Linked DNA regions of Mus musculus. The protein of the gene in region 1 interacts with the protein of each later gene in a biochemical or structural test. Links are inferred from orthologs where the notes say so. Each region holds a gene or a part of one and is shown in the gene's direction. Other genes may lie near its edges.

Region 1 (4,295 bases):
AAGAGGCTCAGCAGGTAAGAGCACTGGTTGCTTTTCCAGATGGACTCAGCTTCGATTCTCAGCACCCACCTGGCAGCCCACAACTGTCTGTAATTCCATTTCCAGTGGAGCTGACACCCTCATACAGACGTGCATATAGACAAAACACCAATGCATGTAAATTAAAACAATAAATAATTTTTTAAAAGTACAATGCAAGCATAATCTTAGTGTGCAAAGTTCAGAGGAAACAGCAGATACTATCTTCTTTCCTTCCTTCCTTCCTCCCTCCCTCCCTCTCTCTCCTCTCTCTCTCTCTCTCTCTCTCTTTCTTTCTTTCCTTCTTCCTTTGTTTCTTTCTTTCTTTTTTTTTTTTGTAGATTTTATAAAGAATGAATCACATTGAGGTTCCCGGAAAATCCTCCCTTCTTTACATCCCATGGGCCTTTTCCTATGACACCTGTTGTGGTAGTTGCTAATCCATTAATCCTTACAGTTCACAGTTCCGTGTCTTTGCTCATTGCTCAACTCTTCTATAACAGCAGGGCTCTGTTTCTACTCTGTTCATGTGGTTTGAGTCTATTCAAAAATTTAAAAAATAGGCTCTTCTTCAATACTAGTGTTTTTATTAAATGTCATTATAATTCCATCTTTAACATCGATTATTGAAAATGCTGAGGTAATTCAGAGTCTCACGAGTTCCCTGTTTCTTAGTTATACTAGTTTCAAAGGCTTAATAGGAAGGCAAGAGCATTGCTGGTGAATCACAAGAAAAGCACTCATTAGAGAATCATTTTTTAAAAACCTCCAAATAAGTTCTATTTCAATTGTCTACAATGTCTTGAGCATAAGTAGAGCCTTAGTGATATAACTTCAACATACAAAAATGGTAACAAATTCAGAGAAATAAATTAAGCCCTCCAAATCACATAGTAATAAGTGCTAGGGCTGAAATCAAACCCTCTCCTTCCTTCCCTTTTCCTCTTCTTCTTCTTCTTCTTCTTCTTCTTCGTCTTCTTCTTCTTCTTCTTCTTCTTCTTCTTCTTCTTCTTCTTCTTCTTCTTCTTCTTCTTCTTCTTCTTCTCCTCCTCCTCCTCCTCCTCCTCCTCCTCCTCCTCCTCCTCCTCCTCCTCCTCCTCCTTCTTCTTCTTCTTCTTCTTCTTCTTCTTCTTCTTCTTTTTTAGTTTTGTGGTCAATGTGTTTAATTTTAAAGGAGTCCCAGTAAGTTCTCCAAGATAAGACAGGGAGAGCAACATAGCTGAACCACGACTGCACTGAACCATTCCTGTGAGGAATAAAACCTCAGAAGGAACAGCAGGGGGAAAATCCATGATTCCTGTTTCTTTCTGTGGCTGAGATGGTTCCGGGAGTAGTTTTGCAAGACTTGTTTCTCCTTGGTTTTGACCAGGGCTGAGCCAGTTCTTCAAACAAAAGACAGCCAGTTACTAACTTCTGGTTGCTAGGTGTGGCTTCAGTTCATATCCTATAAAATCAGGAGTCCAACCCTCCACTTCCAGTCTGAAACCATCTGAGCAGAGTCTCTCTTCAGTCCCCGGGAAGACAAGCAAATACAAAGGTAAGGCTTAGCTTTCATTTTACAGAGTTCTGCTTGCTGGAGAAACCACAAAATCGGGTAAGAACTTCTTGCTTGGTTTGCCTGGGGCTTCTTAAGGAAGTGCTGTTGACTGCTGAATTCAACTACAGGATTTACGGTTTGTTGCAAATACCATGTCTTAGCTAATCCTGCTGCAAAATTAGACTGTGTGCTTATCTTTTAGACGTTACAAAATCATAAAGTTTTGCCTTTCTTAACTAAGAAATGCATGTCTGAAAGTCTGGCAAGTTTACTGTCCTGCTGATGAGTTACTAAAGGAGCAAAGAGAAAGTGTGCTCTGGCAAGCTAAGAGTGAGGATTTTCTTTCCTCCTCTTTGGAAAAGTTTTCCAAAGAGCTGTGAGTTTTGTGTGGGTCCAGAGCTGGAGTGGGAAGGCAAGTGGGGGTCCCACAGAAACCACAAATGGAAAACTCTCAAGAACTGTTCCAAAATGGAAGGCTTTCACAGCTAAAAATATTTTTCTTTAATAAAACCAAATGAATCCCAGGCTCCGAGTGGTCCTTTTTAATTAGCGTTTTGAATCAATGTTATGTTTACTCACTTTAAGATGGTCCGCTTATTACTTGTCTCATTTAAGCAGGGAGTGGCCACCTCCCCTCCCTATAATCTCTGTGTCATAGACAGGCTTTTCTGGTGCTCATTTGAAAACCTAAGGGGAAAGCAGATTTTTCCAGGGTGAGGTCAGAGAAGTCATCCCACGGAATGCCGCAGGGGCCCTACAGAAACTCTTCTGCCTAGCGACGGTCTTGGTGTAGCATAAGATAAGGAGATAAATTTCCTAGGAAAGCAAAACAAAACAAAAATAAAGCTGTACAATATTGAATCAAATTGCAAAAGTGAGAGCATATGATTCCTAACTACACACTTGGCTTATTACAGATGTGCCTTCAAGGACCTTTTCCTTAGCTCACTTAAAACTGTTAATGAAATGTCTTATCTCCTAATTTTATGGGTGTCCATTAAAAATGTGCTTCCTCTTGCCACGGTGCCTCGGTAGTATGACTCCTGAGAAATCAATGTCCCTAACACTGAGCAGGTACTGTGCTTTGCTCGCTGCAGCTCAGTCCTGTTTCAGCTGATTCATATGTTGTAAAATGTTGGTTTCCTGCTTCTGAAATGGCTTCTTCCACATTTCAGAAGTTATGTGGTTACCAGAGCCCAGAGACACACCTATACCTCCTAGTTCCCTGATAGGAGACCGCTGCTCTTGAGACTATAGCAACACTCATAAGGAGCCAGCTAAAGTCAGATGCTTGTTAAATACTTTCTCAATCAAAAACTTCTGCAACGTTGATGCCTGAACAACGTTGGACAGGCTGGACAGGCTCACTTATTTCCCTCTAGACCTATTAAATTGTTACATATTTAAAGTCAGAGCAAAAGACACAAATAAAAACTACTGGATCCTTAGGGATGAACCATGAACAATTCTCAAAGTTTAATATTTCTTTTTCCTTTAATCTTATACTCATTTATCAGAATGATCAAGCATCCAATCTGTCTAATACCTTTCTCTTTAGGTTAATCCCTCTTTGGACTCAAGGTGAAATGTAAGCTAAGTGATTGGGATCTATAGCTATAGCTATATTTATTTTAACATTCTCATTTTACATATTAAATTAACATTACATTTTACCTGAAGAATTTTCATGTTTTTTTTGTGTGTGTGTGTGAAGTCAAATTTCCAGTTAAAGAAAAAAAGAAACAAACAAACAAAAAGGCCCACAGCACCACGATATGATTTTTCTATTTAAAATACTATCATTATGGGTCAAATTTGTTGGTTAAATCTGTGTAGCTGTTTCCCTAGTGCTGTTTGTTTATTTAATAAGATTTATTTATTTATTTAGTAATAATTCTTAATGCTTATGGATATCCAGAATTCCAGGTACTTCATGAGGTACTGCAGATTCCAAGCAAATGGTCCGTGTCTTCGGGGAAGACTGCTGGAGGGTTAGATGCCAGCATGAAGACTTAATGCATAGTGGCATGAGGCTATTGGATGGGCAGAAACAAGATGCTTTCAAAGGTCCCCCAGTGCAGAGCTGAGTCCCAGTGAAACCATCATGGAGCCTTAGCTGAGCCTTCATCAAGCAGCAGTGAGTCAGGCAAAAGACAGAGGAGTAGATGAGGTCAGAGCATTCCAGGCCACAGAAACTCCCTGGTCAGAAGCCCGAAGCCAAATAACCAGGTGCTATCTTTGGCTAAATGGCGTTTTAAGCGTGATGTCATTGTATAGACTAATTACCTCTCATGTGGCCATTGAAGAGTCTAATTATCTTCTCCACGTGGGTAGTTGTGGGAAGGGCTTACAAAGCACGTATTCAAGGAAGAATTGTACACAAAGCAAAAACACGAAAAAATCAATATCCTCAGGCTGCAGTGAAAACTGTTGAGTCTCCAATAGATTCTCTATTGATGAATCTGGATCTCAAGTGGATTAAACGTAGTACTGATCTTCTCATCTCTGTTTACTAATTTAAAAACACATAGTATTTTGCAGTCAGAAAGCATATATTTATATGATGACCACTGACACTACTCGCAGGATGTATGTCTGGAAAGGTCATCACATATAGAAATAATGCGGGTGGTGACAAAGTTATTTTGTCAAAAAAGAAGTGGCTAATGATTACTGCTACTACCGTTGTGAAACTGATAGTCCTAGCATATAACCAGGGCATAAGCCACATTGCTGTCAT
Region 2 (4,603 bases), on another chromosome or scaffold:
AGGTTAACAGGCTTGGAGGATGCACCCTTACCCTCTGAGCCATCTTTCTGTCCCCAGCAGTTTGGTTTGGTATAAAAGTATTAGTAAGTTACTTTGTTTCTTTTATTGTGTGTTTTGTTCTAAAGTAAGCAGTTAATCAATCAAAATTGCACATTGGGAAAATGTGTTTTTATTGATTAAATATGTTTTTATTGGAGGGCAAGGGCCCAGTTGCAAAATCAATGGAAAAAGGGAGTGGGGATGTAAACTCTATCAGTGCAGGTGTGGAAGAAGGACAGGTGGGTCCAAGCACACAGTAAGCTGAAATTCCAAGGGCCATGATTTTAGAAAATCGTGTAAGAAAGTAATTTTTTTAAAAACATGGTGCTAATGTTTTCAAATAAGGAAAATGGGAAAATGGTCACATCATCGGCAGAAATGGAAAGAGGGTGGATCTAATTATTTTTTGAATTATTGTTGGAAACACAAGAGTGTTTGTTTTGGTTTGGATTCTAATTTTCTTATGAGACAAAATCCTACTCTGTAACCCAAGCCGTTCTGGAATTCACTAGGTAGGCCACAGGCTGGCCTTGAACTTGCAGTAGTCTTCCCTCTTCAGCCTTGCACATGCTGAGATTATAGGCAAGGGCCACCATGTCTGACTTCAAGGGTTCCTAAACAAGAGACAGGAACTGTGACTGGTGAAATTGGGGGAGCAGAAACCAGGAAGCATTCACACAATGCCCTATTCACATCTACTCTGCAAGTTGTTCTTTTTTTTGGGGCGGGGGGTGTCTCCTTAAGGGCATCACTCTATGTGATAGACATTCTACGTGCCTTTACTAAGTGGTGAAGGCAGCATGGCTTGTTTATAGATGGGAAAATGGAAGCTCAGAGGGGCCAGTACTTGCCAAAAGTGCTGCAGTGATGTTGTGGACCAAGGATTAGAAGCTGGAAGTTTGTCATACAATTCCCAACTTTATTGAAACACAGACAGGAAAATGCCGCACTTGCACAGGGAGATGTTTAGCTGCAAGAGTTTTCTTAACTGTCATTTTAAAACTTGAAAGCAGGGTGAAAATTATCTCTAGACAATAATCACCAATATTCTGTTGGCAATAATCACTGCCCTTAGGTAGGCCAGATGGTGCACACCTATAATCCAGCACTTGGGATGCGGGGGTAGGAGGGTCCTAAGTTTGAGGCTAGCCTGTGCTACATAGAGAATCAAAGTCAGCTTTAGCTACTCAGGAATACCACGTGTCAGAAAAATTTAAAAAATCACAACTGTTTATTAAATTTCTTCAGTGTAGCAGGACAGCCCCAGCTCCTAGGGACCTACTTGATGAGCACGACTCACATTCTTTCTGCTTATCTGACCTGAACTGCAAATGGACACGTGCATAGAAAAAGAGCTAGGGGCATGACTTCCCCTAAAGCCAAAAATCTTTGAGATTCCAGGGAGAGAGGAACAGAGACCTGTTGAGTCACAGGGACTACAACCAGTGAGCTGAGTCTAGAGCACCGACATGGGGACAGGCCGAGGCCTGCGGAGGGGCGGGGGCCGGGGCGGGCACAGCCTGAGTCAGGCTGAGGGGCGGGACCCGGACCCCGACCGCCACTCCTGTCCCAGCCACCGTCAGCCACAGTCGCAGCCGGACCTCGCTCCTCAACTTGGTAAGCATAAGTTTTTGAACTTTTTAGATTTTTTTCTTTTTAATGAAAACAACAAAGAGCTACGCATGCTCTTGGCTGGGTGTATCTTGGACTAACGTGTGGACGTGGCAGAAAATGGATCGGGAAGATGAAACTGTGGGAGGCAATTAGAGAAGAGTGGAGGGCACGAGGAAGCCCTAAAATTACACCCTAATAACAGCCTGTGGGGAGAAACGGCGGTCTTTTGTTCTCCCGGGCAAAATAAGTTCTAGGCTGGGTGCGGCTGCCTAACTGGCCTGAGCCCGGGCTGGGTGCGGCCGCTAGACTCCCTGGGGCCGTGAGCCCCTGAACCCAACCAGTGGCGGCCGCCAGAGAGCTGCAGACTCAGTGAGAACTTGGGGCAGCGTCGCTAGGCGTTCATGAAGACTAGAAAGAAAGCGGTTCAGAACGTAGCCTTCCTGAATTCTGGGGGACTCAGCTGCGGGGAAACCGCAGGCAAACAGCCAAGACATACAGATGAGAAACCGGAGCCTGTTGCAGCCATTGGAACCACAGACAGGAATGTGGGAGGAGGCCAGTCCCTCCCAGCTCGCTCTTTTCCTCTCCCCCTTACTCCACTCCCAGCCATCTTTTTAGCCACTCCCTACATCACCTGCCTGTCTCCTACCTGCTACTTCAGTTCCCCTCGTTTCTTTAAAAAATGTTTCCAGTAATTCACATCCCCTCCAAAATCTACCCCTTCCTTTGACTCTTCAAAGAGGATCAGCAAATGTTGGAGAGAGGCCCAAGTGCGTTTTTGCCCTAGTCCCAAACTAATTATAGATTTTTATGTTTTTAAATGGTTGGAAGACATTCAAAAGGAAAAGAATCCCTTGTAATGCATGAGAATGGCATGAAAATCAAATGTATAGAGTTTACAGGCACCGCCACACCCTTTTGCTTTATGTATCCTCACCCTTGCTGCCTGACTATGGCAAGAGTGATAAGATCTTATGGAGCATAAAGAGCTAAAAAATATCCACAGCTGTCCCTTTATTGCAAATAACAGCAACAGAAAGCTTGCGGACCCCTGCTTTGGTGTGTCAGTCTTTCATCACTTCCTACTTATTGTTTCCTTCTTCCCCTTTTCATCACACAGGGTACCTAGGGCCCAGCACCAACAGGTTATGAGGTGAAAGGAGATAGATGAGACCCTGAACACTTGAAGGAAGAGCTTTGGTGCTGGTTGAGAAAGAGATAGTTGGTGTGGTTCCCTCTTTTTCACATATTTCTGTCAAGGGGAAGCTTCCCTGGAACGTTGGGTGTTTAGGTTGCGTTTTAAAAGGATCTCACTGCGTCCTTTCACAGTGGGGTTTTCCTTGCTGTCACTGTTCCCATCATGCAAAAGGGCGATGGTGTGGGCCGTGCCCTCTCTTTCAGCCGCTGCTCCACATGGGCAAAACCTTCCCATCTGAGCCCTCTGTTCTAAGGGAAAGAAGAAAGGAGCATCTATAGGCCTGGAACCTCCTCCCCAGTCTAGCGAGTCCTCCGTGCCAACTCTCCTGCTATCATGTGACACACTAATAAGGCAGCTAGATTTTAGTTCTGATAGGAAGAGCATGTTGTGTAAACACTTGTTTCTAGGCTGTGGTGTTTGGTGTTTCCCCCCCCCCCCCCCCCTAACTTACCAATAGTTTTCTCTCCTTCAGACTCTTTAGAAAGAACTTATCTCCAGAAGAAGGTTCAGGTACTCTGGGCATTCCTAGGTGCAGTGAGCCACAGCAGTGCAATTTTGATAATAAGCTGCTTAAGATAGGTGTTAGGAACGGGGCATGGTGGCGCACGCCTTTAATCCCAGCACTCAGGAGGCAGAGGCAGGCGGATTTCTGAGTTCGAGGCCAGCCTGGTCTACAGAGTGAGTTCCAGGACAGCCAGGGCTACACAGAGAAACCCTGTCTCGAAAAACAAAAACAAAAACAAAAACAAAAACAAAAAAAAAAAAAAAAGAAAGAAAGAAAGAAAGAAAAAGAAAGATAGGTGTTAGGAAGAGAGGCTGCGGGGCTGCCAGCTTTTGTCATCTTTAGCATGTGCTGTTGCACAGCCTGAAAGCTTCCAACTTTCGTATCCAGAAAGTCCGTCTTAGAGAGCAGTCAAAAACTAAATACTAAATTACATACATACATACATACAAATCATAGTTAACATCAAGCGAGAAAGTGTCAGGGTGTGGTTGACAGGGTCTAGGAAACCCTGCAGTTGCGCTGCTACCCACTAGGGGGAGCACAACGGATCAATTCTGGATTCTGGGAACAGATCTCAACCAGGATGACTCAACTCAGTAGAATTTCCTTTAGGAATTCTGCTGTGGGAAAAGCAGAGTCCGGCACAGAACTTGAATGATGCTCTTCCTGGTGCAACCACAGCTTTGGTTTAACTCTGTGTTAAGACATTCCAGCCACCATTCCTTTGGAAATGAGTGGCGTTTGGATGAAACAAAGGCAGAACTCTGTAGAAAGGAACCTTGTAGCCGAGAGCCTAGGGGTGACGCTACCCTGATAGTTGCCCTCTCATGCCTTAGTTCTGCACAAGTAAAATTAGTGACGTCTAGCTTTCTGCTTTACACACACACAATAAATCTATAGTTTCACTAGGTAGCCCAGGTTAACCCAAACTCTTGATCCTCCAAGGGTATATGCACCCCCACACCTTGCTGAATATACTTTCGAACGTCTAAAATGTCCTCTCTCCTCCCCCCCCCCCCCCCAGTGCACGATTACAGATGTGCTGTTCATTTTCTTCAGAGAAATTCATGAGAATTACTTTAGGGCATCTCATTCAATCACAGTAGCCTCTTGTGGAATAGGTCACTCACTGTAATCTCCCTCCAAAGTTCAGAACATGTGTGTGCAGATTCCTATAGTCATATGAACAGATTATTCATATGTTTTCTCACACTGTCTAAGAATATCAGAAAAGTTCTCCCTTGTCT

Evidence for each region.
Region 2: the proteins of Anxa1 (region 1) and S100a11 form a complex in vitro, tested with the Homo sapiens proteins (2 studies listed by BioGRID). The link is inferred for Mus musculus from reciprocal best matches to the Homo sapiens genes ANXA1 and S100A11.

What each region holds. Positions count from the first base shown.
Region 1 is NC_000085.6:20,387,872-20,392,166, reverse strand, and holds the start of Anxa1 (annexin A1), read left to right. Parts: upstream 1-1,495; 5' UTR 1,496-1,555; intron 1,556-4,295. UniProt on the Homo sapiens protein: Plays important roles in the innate immune response as effector of glucocorticoid-mediated responses and regulator of the inflammatory process. Has anti-inflammatory activity.
Region 2 is NC_000069.6:93,518,898-93,523,500, forward strand, and holds the start of S100a11 (protein S100-A11), read left to right. Parts: upstream 1-1,598; 5' UTR 1,599-1,656; intron 1,657-4,603. UniProt on the Homo sapiens protein: Facilitates the differentiation and the cornification of keratinocytes.